Linked DNA regions of Macaca mulatta. The protein of the gene in region 1 binds, or shares a complex with, the protein of each later gene. Links are inferred from orthologs where the notes say so. Each region holds a gene or a part of one and is shown in the gene's direction. Other genes may lie near its edges. The genes, in order: DRC1 and DRC12.

Evidence for each region.
Region 2: DRC1 (region 1) and DRC12 share a complex: the UniProt entries of both Homo sapiens proteins name them as parts of the nexin-dynein regulatory complex. The link is inferred for Macaca mulatta from reciprocal best matches to the Homo sapiens genes DRC1 and DRC12.

Annotation. Positions count from the first base shown.
Region 1 is NC_133418.1:98,559,008-98,571,157, reverse strand, and holds part of DRC1 (dynein regulatory complex protein 1), read left to right. Parts: intron 1-1,762; coding exon 1,763-1,902; intron 1,903-5,925; coding exon 5,926-6,060; intron 6,061-6,419; coding exon 6,420-6,652; intron 6,653-9,286; coding exon 9,287-9,399; intron 9,400-10,584; coding exon 10,585-10,674; intron 10,675-11,270; coding exon 11,271-11,360; intron 11,361-12,150. UniProt on the Homo sapiens protein: Component of the nexin-dynein regulatory complex (N-DRC) a key regulator of ciliary/flagellar motility which maintains the alignment and integrity of the distal axoneme and regulates microtubule sliding in motile axonemes.
Region 2 is NC_133419.1:119,879,674-119,892,546, reverse strand, and holds DRC12 (dynein regulatory complex protein 12), read left to right. Parts: upstream 1-6,487; 5' UTR 6,488-6,532; coding exon 6,533-6,745; intron 6,746-7,043; coding exon 7,044-7,116; intron 7,117-7,542; coding exon 7,543-7,617; intron 7,618-8,685; coding exon 8,686-8,805; intron 8,806-9,569; coding exon of another isoform or gene 9,570-9,655; coding exon 9,656-9,748; intron 9,749-11,980; exon of another isoform or gene 11,981-12,048; coding exon 12,049-12,179; intron 12,180-12,432; coding exon of another isoform or gene 12,433-12,437; coding exon 12,438-12,584; 3' UTR 12,585-12,630; downstream 12,631-12,873. UniProt on the Homo sapiens protein: Component of the nexin-dynein regulatory complex (N-DRC), a key regulator of ciliary/flagellar motility which maintains the alignment and integrity of the distal axoneme and regulates microtubule sliding in motile axonemes.

The DNA of each region.
Region 1 (12,150 bases):
TCAAATACTCATCTCATAATGGAGATTTAAAAATCCCTGCGGTGGTGATGTAGAATATTCTTGACTAATTCCCCCATGACAATGTGTGTGGGAATCACCGGATTCCACAGCAACCATGGAAATGATGTGCTTCCTGACCCAATGGAGCGTCACCTCCTAGCCAGGAGCCCTCCTGGAGTATGACCCAGAGTGGGCTGTGATAGCTGCTTGGAATCACTTCCTCTGTTGACTCCTGGGCCAGAGTCTGTAGCCTAACAGAGGGAGACGGGACAGAGGCTGGAGACAGCACGCACGTGGCAGTTTTATCGAGTTTCTGATTCCACTTGATTGCCTTCCCCATTCCTGCATTTCACTCGGGAGAGGCAGGAGCATGCCAGCCTCCAGCCTTGCCTCTCTCTGATCTTTTTTTCACAAACTGTCAGGGTGATCTTTCTACAGTGACTGGACCAACCATTTTCCTTCCCTGCTTAACATTTTTAGTGGTCCTCCCTTGACTTCAGGATAATGCTTTAAATTCCTAGCTTGGGAAGGCTCTGCTGCTCTGTCAGCCTCATTTCTGACCATTCCTTGCCTCGTGCCTCACATCCTAAACTTCTTGTGGTTTTCCCAAAGCCTCATATATGCTATTTCCTCTCTCTAGAGTGCTCTCCCTTCCGGTGTCACCTGTGTAACTCCAGCACATTCTCTAGGTCTCAGCTAGACACACCATCTTCCAGGGATGATTTCCCTGGTCCCTCAAGACCAAGGACAGTGCTCTTGTCATTGGTCCCATAATGGTCTGGGCTTCCCTCTATCTTGCCTCTTATCCCTAGCGTTTGTTTATCTGCCTCTGTTCTAGACGGGTCAGGACTATGCCTTTCTCACTGGTGTTTTCGCAACGGCACCTCAAAAAGTATCTCACACAGATTAGGCACACAATAAGTATTTGCTGAATGAATGAATACAGCTAATGGAAATCCAAAAAGTAAGGATGACTGTGTCTGTCCTTTTAAATGAACCTGGGTTGCTAAACACTAACACTTCCACCCTGGAAGGTCAAAGTGGGGGAAATTTCAAGTTTTTGTGGCCGTATTTATTTCTATGGTGTTTTTAGCGGGGCTACTCATATTTCTGAAGGGTCTGGAGAAAGTTACCGGAGTTAGTTGGACTTGAAAGCTCTGTGATCTTTCTTAGGCGTTAGGTATACAGATTTTAGTTTACAGTTCATTGACTTGTATTTTATCTGGTTGACCTTTAACTTGACTCTCATGATAGATTTTCTAAGAATGCAGGCTGAGGCACTTGTCCCTAAGGTTCCTCTGACATGACTTGAACAATTTATCAGAAGCCTACAAGCTAGGGCCAACTAGTGTGTGAAAATATATATATATTTGTATTTCAGAGCATACCTTTATTTGTGTACAATTTTAGGTATAATTCACAGGGCAGATAAGCTTATAAATGTAGGAAAGTTTATTTTTGTATACTTCCAGTATAAACTTCTACCAATACTTTTACCTCTTTATTCTTTATGAATGTAGGTACAAAGATAAATACATCTGAATATGGAGATGCATAGTTAGGTAAATAAACATACATAAGCAGGACTATGTAAGTATATCTATGTAAATATTTACCTATACAAAGCATGTTCCCCAAAAGACATTTTAAATACGCTAGTGTATATAATACTAAGGATGCAGGTGTAGAGTTAGTGTGTGTGTGTGTGTGTATATATATACACATATACATAGATATATATATAGTTTTTTTAAAATTTTAGATTCTTGAGCAGCAGCTTCAGCAGAGGAAAGCAATTTATCAACTAAACCAAGAGAAATTAGAGTACAACTTGCAGGTGCTGAAGAAGAGAGATGAAGAAAGCACAGTGATTAAATCCCAGCAGAAGAGGAAGATCAATCGGTAAGCTAGCATGCAGAGCGTCTTTCTTCTGGGCTCTCTGTGCTGAGAATAGGGATGGATATGTACTTTTTTCTATTGAAGGGGTAGAAACCATTAAAAATATAACCAACACTTATTAAAATAGTTTTTTGGAGAAGTTAATACATTCAAGTGGTTCCCCTTCTCTCCCCAAGAAAAGAGAACATAGCAAAAGATTTTCCATCCCCATTCATCTTGTTCCTCTTTCCCACCTCTATAACCAGTTTGTCTCTTCCAGAATTTCATTAGGCATATACAAGCCCACACAAATATTCTCATCCCCCATCTGCTTTTACGCAAATGATGGCAGTCTGTACACACTGCCGTGTATCTTGAAGACCTTTCCATCCCAGTTCATAGAGAGCTTTTACCGTTTGTTAAGCTGCTACGACCCACTGTATAGATACACTATGATTTATTTGACCAGTGTCTAATGATGGACATGTAGATTGCTTCCAGCCTTTTTCCCTTGCAAATAATACCAACCTAAGTACTCATGACATGTGCCAGTTTGCTTTTGTGGAGATACCATGGCTCATTGAAAGGTACCTATTGCTTGAAATTTCTCACACATCTTCCCTTCTTCCTTGTCTCCTTAGTCCCATCCTTCCTGCCTTTCTTCCTTTAGGAATTGCATTCTAAGTTTCAGACCACTGTGTTAGGCTCTGAGGACCAGAGTGGAATAAGATTTCTTGCTTGTAGAAGGAGACAAGATTGAGGATTTCCCTCCAAACCCCAAATAGCCTATTATTATTTATGAATTCTTCCACTTGTGGGTTGGTAATACGTACATTTTGGACACATGTTGAATGTATAGACGAACATCAGTTGACATTTTGGTAGTTACTTATCACAGAAAATGATACTGAATAAATGGGATGGCATCTTAAGCCTGATTATCTGAGAAACAAGAATAGTCAGGGGACAATATTTATGAAAAAATTCCCACTATATAAGCCCCATACTAGATAGGGGAACATCCAAGAAAGACACACATCAAGACAGTGAGGAGGCACCTGGGAAAACTTCCCAAAGAAGTGAAATACTGGAGGGGGTGGGGACATGAACTGGCAAAAGGCAGTTAAGAGGAGACTCCAGGTGGACAGTGCTGGCAGCTGGGAATGGCTGGTCTGAAGGCAAGGAGGTAGGATTCAGGAAGTCCCACAGTGGGTGTAGAGAACGGGTAAGGTGGGAGGCGGGAGGAGGCGCTTGAGGCAGAGCTTGGGTTTGATGCGTGTGGCTGAGAGATGAGTGGAATCTTCCCTCTTATTTCAAACTCAGACATCTTTCCCTCAGCCTGAAAAACCCTTCAACGGACCCTGCCATTTCTAAGCACCATCTTTTCATTTCTTGCTTTCATTGCCATTTTCCTTTCCTCCTCATCACCACCCAACATTTCATAATTTGACATATCTGTTTGTGCTGCTATAACAGACTACCTGAGACTGGATAATTTACAAAGACGAGTTTATTTCTCACAGTTCTGGAGCCTGGGAAGGCCAAGATCAAGGCTGGCAGGTTCAGTTTCTAGTGAGGGCTGTATCTTTCAGAGGGGAGGGACGCTGTGTCCTCACTCAGCAGAAGAATGGGAGAGCAAGCTGGCCTAAGGCTTTGGGAGGCCTGTTTTATAAGGGCCTTAATCCCATAATCCCATTCATGACGGGGGAGCCCTCATGGCCTCATTACCTCTTAAAGGCCCCACCTCTTAATATTATCACATTGACAACACTGAATTTTGGAGGAGTTACATTCAAGCCATAGCAACCTATGACCCCAGGATTGTACAAAAACTTCCCAAAGTAGGATACCAATGATGCCCTTCTAGCCAAACGTAGTGACTTCTCCTCAGGCCTCATCCTATTATGATTGGATACTGGGTTTTCTTCTTCGGTTTAAGTGACCCTAAAATATTTGCCCTTCTTTCTTAATTTATTTGTTTCCTTTGGTGGTTCTGCTTTTCCTTGCTTGATATGTCTTGAGTATCTAGATAAGGTAATCTAGAAGACCCAGGCCTTACCATTGCTTTTAATTTTTATTTCATCTGCCACACACCTCAATCTCATGGTTTTGAATATCCCCTTTTTGTTGATGACTACCAACTTCATATCCCCAATCCTGAGCTCACCTTTCATTTACTTGGAACTGCCAAGGTAACAGTTCAGCTTGGAGAGGCCCTGTCATTTCCAGGGCACAGTTTCTGAAACCAGACTTGCCTTTGCTCCCTGTTTCCAGTTCTCCAGCTTTACTCCTCTGCATCTCTAGCTTCCAGGCACTAAGGACTCTGGACTTTTTGTTGAACCTCCTCTTGCAACCATTCTTCCCTGTTGACTTCCTCTCCTGCTATCTTGCCCGGACCTTCAGTATGCATCTGGAGTTTGTTTTGGTAGCTTTTGTAATTAGATGACACGTAGGAACTCCTTTACCACATGACATTGGGAAAAAAACCACTTTGGAATGACTACTTGTTTTTACTTCTGTGCTTGGAAAGCCTGCTTTAGTTAAGAAAATGGGTTAGCTGTTTCTTTCTATCAGAGACTAAGGTAACTACTTTTTTTTGCATTTTCTTGACGATGAAAATATGAATGATGAATGTTTGCATTTGAAAGGCATTTTGATCATTTCAGAATAATGCTTAGGAGATGGAAAATTTTATTTTTAGAATTTCTAAACTTAAAATATGTTGGCCTTCAACTTCTCTGTTACTGTGTGAATGAGACACTGATAAGAGACACCTCTGTAGCAGTTTGAAGTCTGAAGTATGGACCTGGGTCTAAAAATTGTGCCTGCCATGCATATTTTATGGGCCACGTTTCCATGCACAGAGCTCCTGTTAGCAGTGAGATGGTGAGCTGTGCCATGCCTGGATTCACAGTGCTATTGGACAGGTTTTAACTGCCTCTTGCTGTTCTGGAAATTTTGGACCATCCCCTCCCCTGCAAGCCTTGGTAAGATAGATGCCTCACCTCTGGGCTCCCCTGACATCCTGCATAAAACTCTCCTATAGCACTTGCCATGCTGTACTGTAATTAACGTTTGTCTTTGTTTTTGACTAGACTGATAGTACCTGTCAAAGATAGTATTGAAACATATCTTTGTATTCATCTTTGTCTTTCAACATATCCTTGCGCGAAAGTGGCATTTCATGCTTGTTTAATGATAAGTGAATGAGTGAATGAATGAATGAATGAGTTACTGGACCTGTTAACGGTATCAGCACTTTGAGGCTGGAAGATTTATGTATCATATGCATTTTTTTCTTTAAATTTTCCTTGCTTCATAATTGAATTAAACATCTAAGTCATGACAATGAAATAGTTGAGATAGATTATTTATTTATTTATTATTATTTTTTATTTTTTTGAGACGGAGTCTTGCTCTGTCGCCCAGGCTGGAGTGCAGTGGCACGATCTCAGCTCATTGCAAGCTCCGTCTTCCGGGTTCACGCTGTTCTCCTGCCTCAGCCTCCCGAGTAACTGGGACTACAGGTGCCTGCCACCACACTACCTGGCTAATTTTGTTTTTTATTATTTTTAGTAGAGATGGGTTTTCACTGTGTTAGCCAGGACGGTCTCGATCTCTTGACCTCGTGATTCGCCCGCCTTGGCCTCCCAAAGTGCTGGGATTATAGGCTTGAACCACTGCACCTGGCCGAGATAGATTATTTAAATATGTGAGGCTGGCCCTAGGTATGGGTATGGGCATTCTGACAAATGATGTGTTGTGAAGAAGGTTCTGTTCAGTCTTGAGTAGGAGGCTGCCTCTTGGTGGGTATGGGCTCTGGATTGCTTTCAATGCATTTCGTTTTGGACTGTCGCATGACCTCCTGTTGCCTTCCTTTTGTTGATCAAAATGGGATCTGTGTTTTGGAATATATGGGAGGGTTTTCTGCTCTTCCACAAATCTGCTCCTGAGTTTGTTGTAGAGCTGAATCAGGTGGATGAGAGCAACATACGTCCGACCTTCTATTCAGCTGCAGACTAACTTTTTTTTTTTTCCTTCAACCAGCCTGCATGATATACTTAACAATCTGAGATCAAAATATGCCAAGCAAATAAAGCAGTTTCAGGAGGAGAACCAGTCTCTAACCTTGGACTACAAACGTCTTGTGTTGCAATTCAAGGAGCTACAGAAAGCCATGCGGTATCTTAAGGACTTGGTCCTAAGGCACTTGTCCTAGCATAGAGGTGGCGGGGATGGAGTTTGTACAGGCTGTGATTTCGTTGGACTTGATATGGCCAGCTATTTTGGAGTTGGACCAGGCATTAGTTAACCCTTTGTGGTGTGTTCCCCTGGTCCTTCACTTGCGTATCACCTGCCTTTTCTTGAGATGTGTTGGGATGGCTTCCAGTTTACTGTAAGTGGGAATCAGCTGCCCAGGGATGGGGCCACGCCCAGGAATTAGCACAGCTCCTTTTCATGTTCTTTCCCTGCTGCCAATTGAGGGGACCCTGGCCAGGCCCTGGGGTCAGCTGGCCATGCTCTGTGACTCTCCTTCACAGGCATTTTGCTCTTATTGATGATGAGAAGTTTCGGGAGATTTGGCTGATGAATGAAGAGGAGGCAAAGGATCTAATAGCCAGAGCCTTTGATGTGGACAGGATCATCCACACCCATCATCTGGGGCTTCCCTGGACAGCACCTGATTTCTGGTTCCTGAAGAATGTTGGGCCTATTTCTCAGCAGCCCCAGAAGTCCGCCACACAGATAGTAGAAGAAATGCTCATGCACACAGGTGACTAGAACGTTGTCGTAGAACCTTAGAGCTGGAGGAGCCCCCTGAGAACATCGGGTTAAGCCAGTCATGTTAGAGATAGTCTAGGGAGGAGGGGGAAGAAATCCCATAGCTAGGAGGTGGTAGAGTATGATTATGGATATAGCTTGTAAGTCTCCTCTAATTTATAGCTTTGCTCTCTCCCCTGTATTATAAACTGGCAGTTAGGTCTAGAAACTTGATCAGGTGCAGGTCCAATTTATTTTTGCTAAGTACACTACTGTGTAGTACCTCCATTGGGATAAACTAATGTTAAATTGTCTCTCTTTTTGTGATGTTAGCAACCGTTGCTAATCATTGTCTAAGATCCATGAACTGTATTAGGAATTGCAAAATGGTGATATGTTAAATTCTATTCTTGTGTCTTTATTTAACAGTTAGAATACTTATTAAAAGAAAACTTTTCCTTCATCAGCAATTTGCTACCCTGAGATAGTCTGTATACGAAAAGCAGGATAGACGCTTATTTTTTCTCGCTGACCAACTTTCAAAATAATGGGTTGGTCCTCTAGCATCTTCCAAAGGTACCAATGAGTTTTTAAAAAATATTATGAATGCATGAATTTAAACAAATTTGATGTATTTTAGTTTACAAAAGTAATTATCCTTACTGAGGCTCAAATTCTTCCATCTTTGGCTAGTGGAAATCTTCACATTGGCTTCTAGGTCCTTTTGACTCAGCCCTAGTAGTTATTTATTTATTTATTTGTTTATGTATTTATTTATTTTTGAGACAGAGTCTTGCTCTGTTGCCAGGCTGGAGGTCAGTGGCGCGGTCTCGGCTCACTGAGACCTCTGCCTCCCGGGTTCAAGCAATTCCCCTGCCTCAGCCTCCCGAGTAGCTGGGACTACAGGTGTGTACTGCCACACCTGGCTAATTTTGTGTATTTTCAGTAGAGATGGGGTTTCACCATATTGACCAGGATGGTCTCCATCTCCTGACCTCCTGATCCCCCCACCTCAGCCTCCCAAAATGCTGGGATTATAAGTGTGAGCCACTGTGCTTGGCCAGCCCTAGTAGTTTTTTGTTTAATAGCGTCCTGGCTTTCCAGGATGACCAGGTGTTCAAGGCACACATTATACTTTACCTGCCTCAAGTCTGGAATCAGTCATTTCTCCAAGGATCCCCTGGTCCTTTTTAATAGGGATTTTTTTTTTTTTTTTTTTTTTAGATGGTCTCACTCTGTCACCCAGGCTGGAGTGCATTGGTGGGATCTTGGCTCACCGCAACCTCTGCCTCTCAGGCTTCAGCAATCCTCCCACTTCTGCCTCCCGAGTATCTGGGACCAAAGACTCATGCCACCATGGCCAGCTAATTTTTGTAATTTTTGTAGAGACAGGGATTTGCCATGTTGCCCAGGCTGGTCTCAAACTCCTAGGCTCAAGCGATTCCTTCCCAGAGTGCTGGGATTACAGGCATGAGCCACCATGCCTGCCCAGGGAATGGTATTTAGAAACCACACTGTGGCTGCTGGGTGCTCATTGTTTTGGATTGGCCGTTGTTTCTAGGCCTTTTCAGTGGACAGAGCCGAGAGTATAGGATTTCTCACCCCTGTAATCCCAGCACTTTGGGAGGCCAAGGCAGGCGGATCATCTGAGGTCAGGAATTCGAGACCAGCCTGGCCAACATGGCAAAGCCCCATCTGTACTAAAAATACAAAAAATTAGCCAGTCATGGCGTGCGCCTGTAATCCCGGCTACTCGGGAGGCTGAGGCAGGAGAATCGCTTGAACCCAGGAGGTGGAGTTTGTAGTGAGCCAAGATTGCACCACTGCACTCCAGGTTGAACAACAGAGTGAGCTTCTATCTCAAAAATAATAATAATAATAATAATAATTAAAAAAATAAAAATAGGCTGGGCACAATGGCTCACATCTGTAATCCCAGCACTTTGGGAGGCCAAGATGGGAGGATCATGAGGTCAGGAGTTCGAGACCAGCCTGACCAACATGGTGAAACCCTGTCTCTACTAAAAACATAAAAATTAGCTGGTGTCACGGCAGGCATCTGTAATCCCAGCTACTCGGGAGGCTGAGGCAGGAGAATCGCTTGAACCTGGGAGGCGGAGGTTGCAGTGAGCTGAGATTGCGCCACTGCATTCCAGCCTGGGTGACAGAGCAAGTCTCCGTCTCAAAAAAAAAAAATTTATCTGTGAATGTGCACAGCCACCCACCCCTGCTTTGAGTTGGCTGCTTCTATCTAATCTGTCGCAGGTTTAGAAACCATAGAACCACTTGCTAGATCATCTCTGAAATAAGAATAAACGGTCTCACACTCTCCCTCCCACTCCCTGGTTCATGGCTGGATTTTGAGTATGATGTTTCCAGGCAGATGCATTTTGGAAAAGTAGGGCATTACAGGCTGGCTGGGAATGGCCGAGTTCTCCAGGTAGTCTCTGATTCCGATCCCCCAGCCCTCCTTCCCCCTACGTAATAGGCTTTTTTCATCATAAAGAGACTGTGAGAATGCCTCACAGAGGCTTTTTGAGAGGTACATTTTTTCAGAGAAAGCCATCTGACTGTTTCTCAGAGTCAGCTAGGTCCAGAAATCTTCTTCTTTTTCTCTCTCTCTCTCCTCCCCCTGACCTGTCTGCAGAAGAGGAGGAGGCAGAAGAGGCCGCCTCGGAACCAGAGTCCTACCTGGACCTGCCGAAGCAAATTTCTGAAAAAACTACCAAGAAGATCCTGATGCTCCTGTGTGACGAGTCGGTGAGGCCAGGCGGGGGCTGCAGCAGAGGGACTCGCGGGGGTGTGCAGCTTCCGAGGCCTCTGCCGGGCCAGTGCTAGCCTGGAGTCAGGAGTGGGCCAGTCCTTCCCTGGCCAAGCCCAGGGTTGGGGCCTGAGGAGCAGAGTTGGGGTGGCCCCTGGACTTCAGGGCCAGTTCACAGAGGGCTTGCCTCTGAGCTGGCCCAGCTGGAAAATGGGTCTAACCCTGGTTGGTCAGCATGGCACAGTTCAGGCCAGCTGGAGGGCTCCTGCCAGCTTAAAATGATGCTGCTTCTGAGACAGAAGTGGCACCAGCTCCCCTCCATGAACCAACTTGCTAAGTGACGTGGCCATACTGACATGGCCCTTCTCAGGCGCTCGTGTTGGGGGCTACTCTGGGTATGTTAGGATTTGGATGTTTGCATTGTGTGTTAGCAAATATGGTTAGACTTAGAATAAAAGCTGTATTGAGCTGGTTCAGCTGGAAGTCGGGTTTTGATCAAACATGGGCAGTGTTGGTTTGGATCTTATGGTTCTGAAGTGGGTGTTCTTTTGGGATAGTGGGGGCAGTTGCCTTTGGCTGGCTCCTGCCACTGAGGGCAGCTGCTGCTGAAGGGGTCAGGTGGCAGGTTCTGCCCTCTCAACCTGCAGCTGGATGCAGAGACCCATGGAGCCCTCCCCCAGGCATCCCAGCTCAGAGCAGGCACCGTGTCTGCTCAGCCGCCCTCTCCCCTCCACCGCAGGTGTGCCGTGTTTTGGTTTGGGGTGCCCACTGCCCTCCGTGCCTCCCTGGCCTGCTGCTGTGTTCTGTAGATATTTGGGGACAAGACTATGAGTGAAGCAGGAGCCTGTGACTGGGTCAGCTTTGGACTGTGGTGGGGGCCTCAGGAGTTTGCCCAGTGGCTTGTGGGTGAAGTGGGTTGGTGCCCTTCTGGGTGGGAAAAGCTAAGTCTGTGGTGAGGATGGGCTTTGTCCCTGGCCTTGCTTGTCCCTGGCCTTGCTCCCTGGGGAGGGGGGTGCTGATGGGCACCCTGAGAAGGCTTTGCTGGGGCCCACTGCTGGCTCCCATCCCTGTGTGTCTGCTCCATGGCATGGTCCCTGGAGTGTTACACAGGGGGCAGCTGCAGACCCTGGGGCTCGCTCCTGAATCGTTTCCCCGACAGGAGATGCCTTCTTCCTTCTCCCCAGGGGTTCCTCATAGAGAGCAAGCTGCTGAGCCTTCTCCTGCCCCTGGAGCAGAATGAATGCTATCTGTTGAGGCTGGACGCCATCTTCTCCGTGAGTCCCACGGGGCTGGGAGGACACGGGCAGGGCTGAAGCCAGCTGTGTTCTCAGATGGCCCTGCCATTGCCTCAACCCTGGCAGTGGATGAGGGTCTCCCGGGGCTTCCCCTGCTCCCTGTCACATCCTTCCCTTAACCTGCTCTCCACACAACACATTGGCCTCAGACTCGCTGCTGTGTCTCCCACCCCTGCCCCTTCCTCTACTAGCATCTTCCTCTCAGGTTGTAGGTTCTCCCCGACACCCCCAAACTCAGATCTGGTCTCCCCGACACCCCCAAACTCAGATCTGGTCTCCCCGACACCCCCAAACTCAGATCTGGTCTCCCCGACACCCCCAAACTCAGATCTGGTGCAGCCCCACTTGGTACCCTCACAGCCAGGGATCCATATGGAGCAGTTCCTGGCTCTATGAGCATTGTTTCTGTGTGTTCTGATGTGTGTGTCCCCAAGTTCACAGTCGCTTCCCAGCGTTGGATGAATGCCCTCCATAAGCCAAGCCTCCTGCTCTTAGGAGCTGAGCATCCATCAGCTGCCCAAGCCCGTGGCCTCTTTGATGGGGTGTTTGAGCAACCATCCTGTTTTTTGCCCCAGGCCCTTGGAATTGAAAGTGAAGATGACTTGTATAAACTGGTGAACTTCTTCCTTAAATATCGAGCTCACCGTTTATCTTCCAGTCTCCAGGTAAGGCAAGGTGCAAAGAGAAGAAAGCATTTTATTTATTTATTCATTTATTTATTTAATTATACTTTAAGTTCTGGGATACATGTGCAGAACATGCAGGTTTGTTACATAGGTATACACATGCCCTAGTGGTTTGCTGCACCCATCAACCCACCACCTACATTAGGTATTTCTCCTAATGTTATCCCTCCCCTAGCCCCCAACCCACTGACAGGCCCCGGTGTGTGATGTTCCCCTCCCTGTGTCCATGTGTTCTCATTGTTCAACTCCCACGTATGAATGAGAACATGCGGTGTTTGGTTTTCTCATCTTGTGGTCGTTTGCTGAGAATGATGGTTTCCAGCTTCACCCATGTCCCTGCATTTTCAATTCTCCCAAAGCCCCCAGAGCATGGTACTGCCTTTGAGTAGTACTTCTGGAGACACAGCAGTGCTTTTATGTCAGGTATAGCTAACTTAGCATTTTCCTTATTGTTTATCAGTTTGTCTCTTTGTAAAGGGAAGAATGGCTTGGGGGTGAGATGCTGTTCTTACACTGAGGCCCAAGGAATCTTTTCCTGCACCCTCCCTCACAACCAGGTCTCAGCCACTGTAAGAGCAGAGCCCACCTGGTTCTGAATATTTTGATCCTTAACACTTTCCCGCAAGGCAGGGCCCATTTGTCCTACATATATTGATTGTAATTGATTTCAGAAGGTGAATCAAATATTAACTATTTTAAAGAAATTGCCATATTAAAAGTTGTATAACGTTTTAATTTAAAAATGAAAAATGTGGGCCAGGCGTGGTGG
Region 2 (12,873 bases), on another chromosome or scaffold:
AAAAAAAAAAAAAATTAGCTGGGCGTGGCGCGAGCCACCACGCCAGGCCACAATTTTTATTTGACTTGTTTTAGAAAACGTACAAGAGAGGGGATTGGACTGTTGATCACAATGTCATTCCCATTCCAGATTATGCTAGAGTTGGTTCATCCTGCATCACATCGTGTAACATGTAGCCTTTTTCTTATCCCACTTCACCTTCACCCCAAACCACATCCTCATTCCGCACCTGAAAGTCCATTGACTGAGCCGAGCATGGTGGCTCACGCCTATAATCCCAACACATTGGGAGGCCGAGGCTGGCGGATCACTCGAGATCGGGAGTTTGAGACCAACCTGACCAACATGGCGAAACCCCATCTCTGCTAGAATACAAAAAGTAGCCAGGCGTGGTGGCGGGCACCTGTAATCCCAGCTACTCTGGAGGCTGAAACAGGAGAATGCCTTGAACCTGGGAGGCGGAGGTTGCAGTGATCCGAGATCGCACCACTCCACTTCAGCCTGGGCACAGAGCGAGACTTTGTCTCAAAAGAAAAAAAGGAAAGTCCATTGACTGAACGTATTTGTAAACTACTTTCTCTTCTGGGGTATAGTTGCTTATATTCTGCAATCTCTATTCTAATGTCATTCTATGCATCAGGATGAGAAAAGAAAAGTAGCTCAAAACTGTCTGAACTGTGTGAGGTATGCAAAATTATCAGGCCCAGAGAAACATGAGTATGGGACTTCAGTCACAAACCCCCGACCCATGCCTGGGGGCAGTGGTTTAAAGGCATTTGGTCCCTGACTAGCTGCCTCACCCATCATCTTCATGTTCCTGGAATACAACGTACAGCCAATCAAATACCTTACGCTATGTTAATGCAAATGATTAGCAGACAGTTTAGGAACTGCCTCTTCTTTGCATTTGTTTGTTTATTTATTTATTTATTTTCGGTGGGGTGGTGGTGGTCTCAGGTTGCCCAGGCTGATCTTAAACTCCTGGCCTCAAGTGATCCTCCCGCCTTGGCCTCCCAAAGTGCTAAGATTATAGGCATGAGCCACCACACCTGGCCTCTTTTTTCCTTTAAAAAGACACTTGTCAGGAGGCTGAGGCAGGAGAATGGCGTGAACCCGGGAGGTGGAGCTTGCATGAGCCGAGATCGCACCACTGCACTCCAGCCTGGGCGACAGAGCGAGACTCCGTCTCAAAAAAAAAAAAAAAAAAAAGACTTGTTGGCCGCGCCTGGTGGCTCACGCCTGTAATCTCAGCACTTTGGGAGGCGGATCACGAGATCAGGAGTTCAAGACCAGCCTGGCCAAGATGGTGAAATGCTGTCTCTATTAAAAATACAAAAAATCAGCCAGACTTGGTGGTGGGAGTCTGTAATCTCAGCTACTCGGGAGGCTGAGGCAGGAGAATCACTTGAACCGGGAGGCAGAGGTTGCAGTGAGCCAAGATTGTGCCACTGCATTCCAGCCTGGGCAACAAGAGTGAAACTCCATCTCAAAAAAAAAAAAAAAAAAAAACCCACACACACACACTTGTAACTGCTACTAATCTAAGCCTATTGTCAAGGGCAACTTGAATCTATGCTCCTGGATTGCTGTCCTCAAACTTGGCCCAAGTAAACTCTCTGCTTAAATTTGTGCCAGTCTTTTCCTTTACATCAACAAGTAATGGGGACACTAATCATTCCACGGAAAAAAAAGTTTCCAACCAAGCAAGGTAGCTCCTGCCTGTAGTCCCAACACTTTGGGAGGCTGAGGCAGATGGATTGCTTGAGACCAGGAGTTCGAGACCAGGATGGGCAACATAGGGAAACCCTGTCTCTGTAAAAAATGCAAAAATTTGCCAAGCTCAGTGGCTCATGCCTGCAATCCCAGCACTTTTGTCACAGGAAAGGGGTCCCGATCCAGATCCTAAGAGACCGTTCTTGGATCTCACACAAGATAGAATTCAGGGCGACTCTAGAGTAAAGTGAAAACAAGTTTATTAGGAAAGTGTTGGAACAGAAGAATGGTGACTCCATAGACATAACCATTTTTATGGTTATTTCTTGATGAGATGCTAAACAAGGGGTGGATTATTCATGCCTCCCCTTTTTACACCATACAGGGTAACTTCCTGATGTTGCCATGGCATTTGTAAACTGTCATGGCGCTGGTGGGAGTGTAGCAGTGAGGACGACCAGAGGTCACTCTCGTCACCATCTTGGTTTTGGTGGGTTTTGGCCAGCTCCTTTACTGCGACCTGTTTTATCAGCAAGGTTTTTATGATCTGTATCTGTGCCAACCTCCTATCTCATCCTATGACTTAGAATGCCTTAACCTTCTGGGAATGCAGCCCAGTAGTTCTCAGCCTCATTTTACCCAGCTCCTCTTCAAGATGGAGTTGCTCGGGTTCACACAACCCTGACACTTGGAGACCAAAGCAAGCAGATCACCTGAGATTGGGAGTTCCAGACCAGCCTGGCCAACATGGTGAAACCCCATCTCTACTAAAAATACAAAAATTAGCTGAATGTGGTGGCACATGCCTGTAATCCCAGCTACTCTGGAGACTGAGGCACAAGAATCTCTTGAACCCAGGAAGCAGAGGTTGCAGTGAGCTGAGATCACACCACTGCACTCCAGCATGGGCCACAGAGTGAGACTGTCTCAAAAAAAAAAAAAAAAGAAAGAAAGAAAAACCTCCCAGGCCGGGCGCGGTGGCTCAAGCCTGTAATCCCAGCACTTTGGGAGGCCGAGACGGGCGGATCACGAGGTCAGGAGATCGAGACCATCCTTGCTAACCCGGTGAAACCCCGTCTCTACTAAAAAATACAAAAAAAAAAAAAAACTAGCCGGGCGAGGTGGCGGGCGCCTGTAGTCCCAGCTGCTCGGGAGGCTGAGGCAGGAGAATGGCGTGAACCCGGGAGGCGGAGCTTGCAGTGAGCTGAGATCCGGCCACTGCACTCCAGCCTGGGCGACAGAGCGAGACTCCGTCTCAAAAAAAAAAAAAAAGAAAAAGAAAAACCTCCCAAACAGGCTTCTAGATGAGGAGGACAGGGACAGGAACCCCCACTGCATTACAGCACAGGAGAAGGAGGTGGTGGAGGGAGAATAAATGAAAAACATGCTCAAGATTAGAAGAAGCTGGTCTGATGGTAGTGGGCTATCAGAACTTATTAACATTAGTCTCATGTCAAAGAAAAGAGTCAAACTCTGTAAAATATTTGAAGAGATTTATTCTGAGCCAAATATGAGTGACCAATGGCCCGTGACACAACTCTCAGGAGATCCTGACAAGTGCTGAAGGTGAACAGGCTACAATTTGGCTTTTTGCATCTTTGTTTTTTTTCAGACGGAATTGCACTCTTGTTGCCCAGGCTGGAGTGCAATGGCGCAATATCGGCTCCCTGCAACCTCCACCTCCCGGGCTCAAGAGATTCTCCTGCCTCAGCCTCCCAAGTAGCTGGGATTACAGGCACCCACCAAAATGCTCGGCTAATTTTTTGTATTTGTAGTAGAGACAGGGCTTCACCATGTTGGTCAGGCTGGTCTTGAACTCCTGACCTCAGGTGATCCACCTGCCTTGGCCTCGCAAAGTGCTGGGATGACAGGCGTGAGCCACTGCGCCGGCTTGCTTTATACATTTTAAGAAAACATAAGACATCAATCAATACATGTAAGATGTACATTGGTTCGGTCTAGAAAGGCAGGACAACTGGAAGTGAGGAAGTGGGTAAGGGAATTAGGGTTAGAATTAGGTTCCGGGTCATAAGTGAATTCAGAGATTTTCCAATTGACAATTGCTTGAAAGAGTTCTTATCTAAAGATCTGGAATCAATAGAAAGGAATGTCTGGATCACAATAAGGGGTTGCAGAGACCACGGGTTTTTTTTAGACAGAGTTTTGCTCTGGTTGCCCAGGCTGGAATGCAGTGGCGTGATCTTGGCTCACCACAACCTCTACCTCCTGGGTTCAAGCGATTCTCCTGCCTCAGCCTCCCAAGTAGCTGGGATTACAGGCGCACACCACCATGCCCAGCTAATTTTTGTATTTTTCAGTAGAGAAAGGGTTTAATAATGTTGGCCAGGCTGGTCTTGAACTCCTGACCTCATGATCTGCCCACCTCAGCCTCCCAAAGTGCTGGGATAACAGGCATGAGTCACCATGCCCAGCCTCTTGTGGCTATTTCTACAGATCTGCTCCTGACAATAGGCAATGGACCAAAAATATTGAGGGTGACAGAGTTGAAGAGAAGTACCTAAAGAAAGAAGGCCAGGCGCAGTGGCTCATGCCTGTAATCCCAGCACTTTGGGAGGCTGAGGCAGGTGGATCACGAGGTCAGGAGTTCAAGACCAACCTGGCCAAGATGGTGAAACCCCATCTCTACTAAAAATACAAAAATTAGCCAGGCGTGGTGGTGGGTGCCTGTAATCCCAGCTACTCGGGAGGCTGAGGCAGAGAATTGCTTGAACCCAGGAGGTGGAGGTTGCAGTGAGCCGAGATCACATCACTGTACTCCAGCCTGGTGACAGAACAAGACTCTGTCTGAAAAAAAAAGATAGCCTGGTGCAGTGGCTCACGCCTGTAATCCAAGAACCTTGGGAGGCCAAGGCAGGCAGATCACTTGAGGCCAGGAGTTCAAGACCATGCTGGCCAATATGGTAAACCCCGTCTCTACAAAAAATATAAAAATTAGCCAGGTGTGGTGGCATGCGCCTATAGTCCCGGCTACTCAGGAGGTTGAGGTGGGAAGATCACCAGAGCCTGGAGAGGCTGAGGCTGCAGTGAGCCGTGATCATGCCACTGCACTCCAGCCTGGGTGACAGAGAGAGACACTGAGAAAAAAAAAATGCCAGGCGCGGTGGCTCACGCCTGTAATCCCAGAATTTTGGGAGGCCGAGGCGGGTGGATCACGAGGTCAGGAGATCGAGTCCATCCTGGCTAACACGGTGAAACCCCATCTCTACTAAAAATACAAAAAAATTAGCGGGGCGTGGTGGTGGATGCCTGCAGTCGCAGCATGAACCCGGGAGGTGGAGCTTGCAGTGAGCCGAGATCGTGCCACTGCACTCCAGCCTGGGCAACAGAGCGAGACTCTGTCTCAAAACAAAAACAAAAACAAAACAAACAAACAAAAAACCTAAAGAAACGGTCTGCAGGTCCCCTAATCCAAAAGGAGAAAAGCCCTGAAGTGTCTGCTGTTTTCACTCTAACCAGTATGGTGCCCAGAGATCCAAGTGGCAGATAGATGGCAAGCCTCAGGATAGCACAGAGCTGCAGGGAGAGTGAAGGCTGCCTGACAAGGGAGGGCCACCCGTCATACTCTCTCCCCCACATTAATTATTCCAGCCACTCCTGGCTCCAGCAGGACACTAAGAAGTATCCCCAAAGGGAGTCACCCCCAATATTGCCCAGTAAATAATTTAAAAGCAAAAATGTGGGAAACTCAGGAGAAGGTCAAACAAGTCCACTAGAGGGAGCCCCAACCAACTCTATGCTGCAGGGAGCCTCACAAAGCAATGTCTCAACACCTGTCTGAAAATCAACCACACAAGGGAATGGGGAAATGTAGCAATAGATTAAGTAACTAGGAGAGAAGATAGCCATGTAAACACCTAGCTAAAACACAGGCTTTTCAAGAGCTACAAAATCAAACATTTAAAGATCAGGAAACTGATGCTGAGCAAAGTCAAATGGCTTGCCTCAGTTTACATATCCACAGTTGGGACTCAAACTCAAATGTCTTGTCTCTAACCTGAGCACTTTCCTGCACACTTGCATCCCTCTAGGTCAGTACCCTAGAGTCCATGGGTCTGCTGTTCCTTTGTGTCTCATTTCTCTGAAGTGGGAAACGCCCTCGACTACCTATTCCTGTACTTATTACCCTCATTCCACAGTGTACTGAAGAGGATCTTCAGTGGTTTGGGGTTTTTGTTTGTTTGTTTGTTTGTTTGTTTGAGACAGGGTCTCCCTCTGTCATCCAGGCTGGAGTGCAGTGGTGCAATCATAGCTCACTGCTGCCTCAACCTCCCAGGCTCAAGTGGTTCTCCTGCTTCAGCCTCCCGAGTAGCTGAGACTAACAGGTGTGCACCACCCTGCCAGGCTAATTTTTTAATTTTTTGTAGAAATGAGGTCTCACTGTGTTGTCCAGGCTGGTCTTGAACTCCTGGCCTCAAGTAATCCTCCTGCCTCAGCTTCTGAAAATGTTGGGATTATAGGCATGAGCCACCGCCCCCAGCTTAGATCTTCAGTTTTAAACCTACTAATGTCATTTTGCTGATGGGACCTCGGGATGTCAATTGTCCAACATGGCTACTGTCAGTCCTTTTCCTCTGTATCAGCACAACATATTATCTCAGATGTGTACATCTGAATTTGGAAGTCTCCAAATTGCAGGCCATGTCTACGTGGCAATGAATCATAACCAATCGGCCTCCAAAGCCCTTTCTTTTCAAACTATACTTAGGGTTTTGGGATAAGGAAAGAACTGACCCTTTGAGACCTTGATATTTTAAGCTTTGTGAGCTGATTTAGCCCATTCCACCTTCCTACGAACTCCATGTTTCCCAGTTGCCTGGACAACATACAGCCTCCCGAAACCCAACCTTCCAGCCCTCAGTCCTGCCCTCAAGAGAAATTTGTCACCAAGGATTGGCTCCCAGGACCCAGGCCCCGCCTCAGGCTCCTCGCTAGTTGGGCCTTCTCTCTGCCACTCCCCACGGGTGGGTCACTCCACAGGGAGCCCCAACACTGGCAGGAGAGGATCCTACAGGTAGGAAGAGGGGGTTGAGGATGATGGGAAGAGGGAGGGGAGCAGGTACAGGGATTTATCTAAAAGAGAGTTGTGAGGAGTGACTTCCGTACAGTCAGCCTGGTTGAGAGAAAAAACTTCACCCTCCCCGTTGACCCCAACCCTGCCTGAGGTTCCAAAGAGACTGTGAACTGACTTTTCTGAAGAGTATGAGATACAAATTTGGAGTAGAACCAGGAGACTCCCCTGAGACTCCTGATTCAGTCAGGAAAGCATCCCTGTGTCCAGACCTAAACATAAGGTCCCCTCCTTCTCCCAGGACAGCAAGGAGATGCCACTTAAAAACAAAGAAAAAGGGAAGAAATCTGGGGCGCAGAAGAAAAAGAACTGGGGTGAGTCATGGTGGGTGGAGGTGCCCCCTGCTTCTCCATGTTCTGGCATGAAGACCACGCAGAGCTCCTCCAGAGAGAATTCAGCCTTCTACATGACAGGATGGAACTCTCTTGACCTTCCTCTTTCGTGTCCTTGAAGTCAGATGCAGGGAGCTGAGGAAGTGGGGAAATGGTCACTCACGCTCTCCTTTAAGCACCATCTAGCTTTGTGCCTTCCTAATATATTTGTCATGTGTATTTTGCATATCTGTTATGTGCTGGTTGGTAAGGACACAGTGCTGACTTCAGTAGACTCTGCCACCATGGATCCCTCATTTAGTGGTCCTCAGGTCTCCTGTGGCAAAAGTGCAGGGTGTGGGGTGAGGACGCAAGGAGAGTGAGGAATGCTGAGATCACGAAGAGCTGAGGCTCTGCCACTTGCCACAGCAGGTGCAGATGTGGAGGCTGAGTCCAGGCACAGGCTGGTGGTGCTGGAGAAGGAGCTGCTCCGAGATCACTTGGGTAAGGAGGGTAGAAGTTGGCATGGGGGTGGGCAACAGGGCAAGTGAAATGGGGCATTTCTGTATCCTGGGGGATTGGAGAGTTGGAGATACAGTGGGGGGCTAAGTTGAACCCTAACCATCCCCTAGTGGAAAAAGACAATGAGAGAGGGGTGGGCAGTGAGAGTTGATAAAGGAAGCTTTTTTTTTTTTTTTAGACAGAATCTTGCTCTATTGCCCAGGCTGGACTGCAGTGGTGTGATCATAGCTCACTGTAATCTCAAACTCCTGGACCCCAACAATCTTCCCACCTCAGCTTCACGAGTAGCTGGTGCACACCACCCTACCTAGCTACTTTATTTATTTATTTATTTTTCTTTTTTAAAATTTATTTTATTTTATTATTTCATTTTATTTTATTTTACTATCTTTTTTTTTTAAGACAGAGTCCTGTGCTCTGTTGCCCAGGCTGGAGTGCAGTGGCGTGATCTTGGCTCACTGCAACCTCTGCCTCCCAGGCTCAAGTGATTCCCCTGCCTCGGCCTCCCAAGTAGCTGGGATTACAGGCACACAGCCACCACGCCCGGCTAATTTTTGTATTCTTATTAGAGACAGGTTTTCACCATGTTGGCCAAGCTGGTCTCGAACTCTTGACCTCATGATCCTCCCACCTTGGCCTCCCAAAGTGCTGGGATTACAGGCATGAGCCACTGCGCCTGGCCCTATTTATTTTTCTTATAGAGACAAGGTCTCACTCTGTTGCCCAGGCAGGTCTCAAACTCCTGGCCTCAAGCAATTCTCCCACCTAAGCCTCCCAAAATATTGGGATTACAGGCATGAGCCACCATGCCGGGCTATCCGGAAAGCTATTTTGTATAGGCAGAACATGGAGAGAGTCTTTACTTCTTAATAATGAGGAGCCTGTGAGACTCTAGGGATAAAAAACAAAAACAACAAAACCCAGAGAGAGAATAAGAGGCTGGACGCCCCGCCACCAGATTTCTAGAGACGGGCAAAATTCATCAAGTTCATGGGGGCTGATTTAGCGGGCCCCAGCCAGTCCTGACAGTGGCTCTGGGACTGCTCACAGCTCTACGGAGGGATGAAGCCCGTCGAGCCAAGGCTTCCGAAGACCAGCTGAAGCAGAGGCTGCAAAGGGTGGAGGCTGAGCTGGAAGGGGCCCGAAGTGAAGGGAAGGCCATATATGCAGGTGTGTGGTCTGTTGAGCAGGTGGGCAGGAGACAGGGGCCTGGAGGAAGACAACCAGCAGGGTCAGATGATGCAAGGAAGGGAAACAAGGAGGGCTTCCAACTGCCAGGCCTGGTCTTGGTCTTCCCCGAACAGTACAAATCAGGCAGGATCCTGCAGGAATCAAAGGCAGGTAGGTTCCTGGGATCCCAGGCAGGGGCCTGCCAGGATGCCTGGTGCCATGTGCTTGATGCTGTGTAGGATACGCATGCAGTCATAGCCATCACCTCAACCATCCTATGGGAGGGGAGAAGGACTAGCATCCCCATCCAAAGCTGGACGGTGGGGGAGGTGGGTTGGGCTTCCTTTCCCTTCCTCAGGTTTTCATGGTCTCTAGCTTCTCAGAATCACAAAAAGAACCAAGAAGACCATGGGCCGGGAGTGGTGGCTCACACCTGTAATCCCAGCACTTTGGGAGGCCGAGGCGGGCGGATCACGAGGTCAGGAGATCGAGACCATCCTGGCTAACATGGTGAAACTCCGTCTCTACTAAAAATGCAAAAAATTAGCCGGGTGTGGTGGCAGGTGCCTGTAGTCCCAGCTACTCGGGAGACTGAGGCAGGAGAAGGGGGTGAACCCGGGAGTCGGAGCTTGCAGTGAGCCAAGATCGCACCACTGCACTCCAGCCTGGGCGACAGAGCGAGACCCCGTCTCAAAAAAAAAAAAAAAAAAAGAAAAAGAAGAACCAAGAAGGCCTTTGTGCTCCTGTTCCACTAGACCAAGTAGAGTCTTCCCCACCCACAACTTCATTTCCTTTCTCCATCGCTCCATCTCCGACCTGGGTCCCTGGCGGCCTACTGCCCCCACCCCAGAGATGAGTCGCCAGTGCCATGCCCTGCAGGAGGATATGCAATCCCGCAGCAAGCAGCTGGAGGAAGAAGTCAAGGGCCTTCGGGGGCAGCTAGGTAGGTTTCCCCACCCCCCAAGCCCCTTGTCTCCAAGAGTTGCAGCAAGGGCCAGCATGAAGGGGCAGACTTCAAAGTCTCTGCTCCAGAAAGCTGCCACCCGGGCTCTGGGATCACTTTCCCCACTTTCACTGACCCTCCACCATCGAGGACTGGAGCAGAGGGTTCGGGATGCCAAGAATCTCTGTTGTAAGTAAAGAAGAGGTGCCAGGCGCAGTGGCTCAGGCCTGTAATCCCAGCACTATGGGAGGCCAAGGCGGGCGGATCGCCTGAGGTCAGGAGTTCGAGAACAGCCTGGCCAAATGGCGAAACCCTGTCTCTACTAAAAATATAAAAATTAGCCAGATGTGGTGGCGCACACCTGTAATCCTAGCTACTCGGGAGGCTGAGGCAGGAGAATTGCTTGAATCCGGGAGGCAGAGGTTGCAGTGAGCCGAGATCGCGCCATTGCACTCCAGCCTGGGCGACAGAGCAACTCTGTCTCAAAAAAATAAATAAAAATAAAAAAGAAGAGGTAGGCGTCACACCCCATTTCCTCCTCTCCAAGTCCAGCCCTACCTAACTCCCCACCACTGCCATGTCTCTTGTGAGCAAAACATATTCCCTTTTAGTTTAGCTGATTTCTACAACGAAACTAAGGGAAAATGTTTGACTTATTTACTTACAAGACCTAGCACCCGGTAGGTCCTAAATAACTGTTCACTAAATAAATGAATAAACACTCCCAATAAGCAAAAATATTTTTAAAAACTAGGAAGCCATTGCTTCTCTTCTCTTGCCTCCTGCTTACAAAATAATGTTGAAATATCTCAGCATGACACATGAGCTCTTGCACAATTTTGGTCCCAAAGTGTTCATACCTTAAAAATGCCTTCAGCCGGGCTCAGTGGCTCACCCCTGTAATCCCAGCACTTTGGGAGGCCAAGGCGAGAGGATTGCTTGAGGCCAGGAGTTCGAGACCAGCCTGGCCAATATGGTGAAATGCCGTCTCTACTAAAATTACAAAAATTAGCCGGGCATGGTGGCATGTGCCTGTAATCTCAGATACTTGGGAAGCTGAGTCAGAAGAATCACTTGAATCCAGGACGCGGAGGCTGCAGTGAGCCGAGATCGCACCACTGCACTCCAGCCTGGGTGACAGAGTAAGACTCCGACCAAAAAAAAAAAAAAAAGCCTTTGGTTTAGCTATAGATGGCCAGGAGCTGCTTATCTGCCATTCAGACCCTGGGTTCCTTTCCTAATCTTTGCTTTACCTCAAATTCCAAGTCAATCAATAACTCAATTGTTTTTGTTGTTGTTGTTGTTTTTTGTTTTTGTTTTGTTTTGTTTTGTTTTTTTGAGACGCAGTTTCGTTCTGGTTGCTCAGGCTGGAGTGCAATGGCGCAATCTCGGCTGACAGCAACCTCTGCCTCCCAGATTCAAGCCATTCTCCTGCCTCAGCCTCCCGAGTAGCTGGGATTACAGATGTGTGCCACCATGCCTGGCTAATTTTTGTATTTTTAGTAGAGATGGGAGTTTCACCATGTTGGCCAGGACTCCTGATCTCAGGTAATCCGCCCTCCCCGGCCTCCCATAGTGCTAGGATTACAGGCGTGAGCCATCACACCCGGCCAATGAATCAATGTTTACGGAGCACTTCCTGTATACTAGCTAGGTGCTTTGTCATCCATCATCGTGTTTAAAGGTCACAGCATACCCCTGAGAGATGTGTCATTCTCTCTTTAAAGATGAAGACACCAGCTAGCTGCGGTGGCTCACGCCTGTAATCCCAGCACTCTGGGAGGCTGAGGTGGGCGGATCACGAGGTCAAGAGATAGGGACCATCCTGGCCAACATGGTGAAACCCTGTCTCTAATAAAAATTAAAAAATTAGCTGGGCGTGGTGGCATGTGCCTGTAGTCCCAGCTACTCAGGAGGCTGAGGCAAGAGAATTGCTTGAACCCAGGAGGCGGCGGTTGCAGTGAGCCGAGATCATGCCACTGCACTCCAGTCTGGTGACAGAGTGAGACTCCATCTAAATAAATAAATAATAAATAAAAAGATGAAGACACTGAGGCTCAGAAAGAGACATGTCTGTGGTCACCTAGGTAGTAATCCGACTTTGGAGCCTTCTGTCTCAAGCCCACCATTCTCTGCTACACCTCAGTGGAGCTTCAGCTTTTACAGGGACTGCAGGAAAGTTGGTGATGCTGGGGGAGTCTGGAATGAGCCCATTCAAGGTCTCCTTTCCAGATACCTTTGGAGACTGGTCAAGGATAGAGTGTCACCATCCTGCTGTCTTTCATCCTGCCTGCCCCCAGAGGCATGCCAAAAGGAAGCTGCGGCTGCCCGGGAAGAGGCTGAACAAGCTCTAAGAGAGCGGGACCAGGCCCTGTCTCAGCTTCGGACCCACGTGGCAGACATGGAGGCAAAGTATGAGGAAATCTTACAGGTAAGCACCACCTCCTGGATCCCAGTCATCCCAGTACCCAGGACTCCCCCATGCCCACAAACCCCAGCTAGTGTGATGACTGACAACCCAGGGGTAAGGAGAAGAAGTATCTCCAAGGGAGCCCCGCTCTATCCTGAGGGCAGAGAGGGGATACAACCATGTCTACTGGGCAAGGAAAGCTTACAAACCAACCTGGGGCAGCCCTCACTCCTTCCCTGTCTCTTCCTGGGGGCTGAAATATTGATGTCTGCAGGACAGTCTGGACAGGCTCTTGGCCAAGCTGAGAGCCATCAAGTCACAGTGGGATGGGACGGCATTGAGACTCCATGCCAGGCACAAGGAGCAGCTACGCCAGTTTGGACTCACCGCCCTGGATCTTTGAGGCCATCAGCCCCTAGTCTCTAGTGTTCTCTGAGGCGCCAGCAATAAAGTGTCTTGATGTAGAACTCAGTAGAGCTGTGGGCTCTGGCCTTTTGGCAGAGAGGAGTGGATCTTTTTTATTTTTATTTTTATTTAGTTTTCTTCTTTTGTTGTTTTTTTCTTTTGTTTTGTTTATTTTTAGGAGTGGCTCTCATGCAGACATCTCAGTTCTGGGTTGACCCATTATCCCTGAGACTCAGTGATAGGAAAGAAATTTGACCAGGTCTCACCTTTTCTCCTGCAGAAGCCGCATCCCACCCCTTGAGCCTGAGGC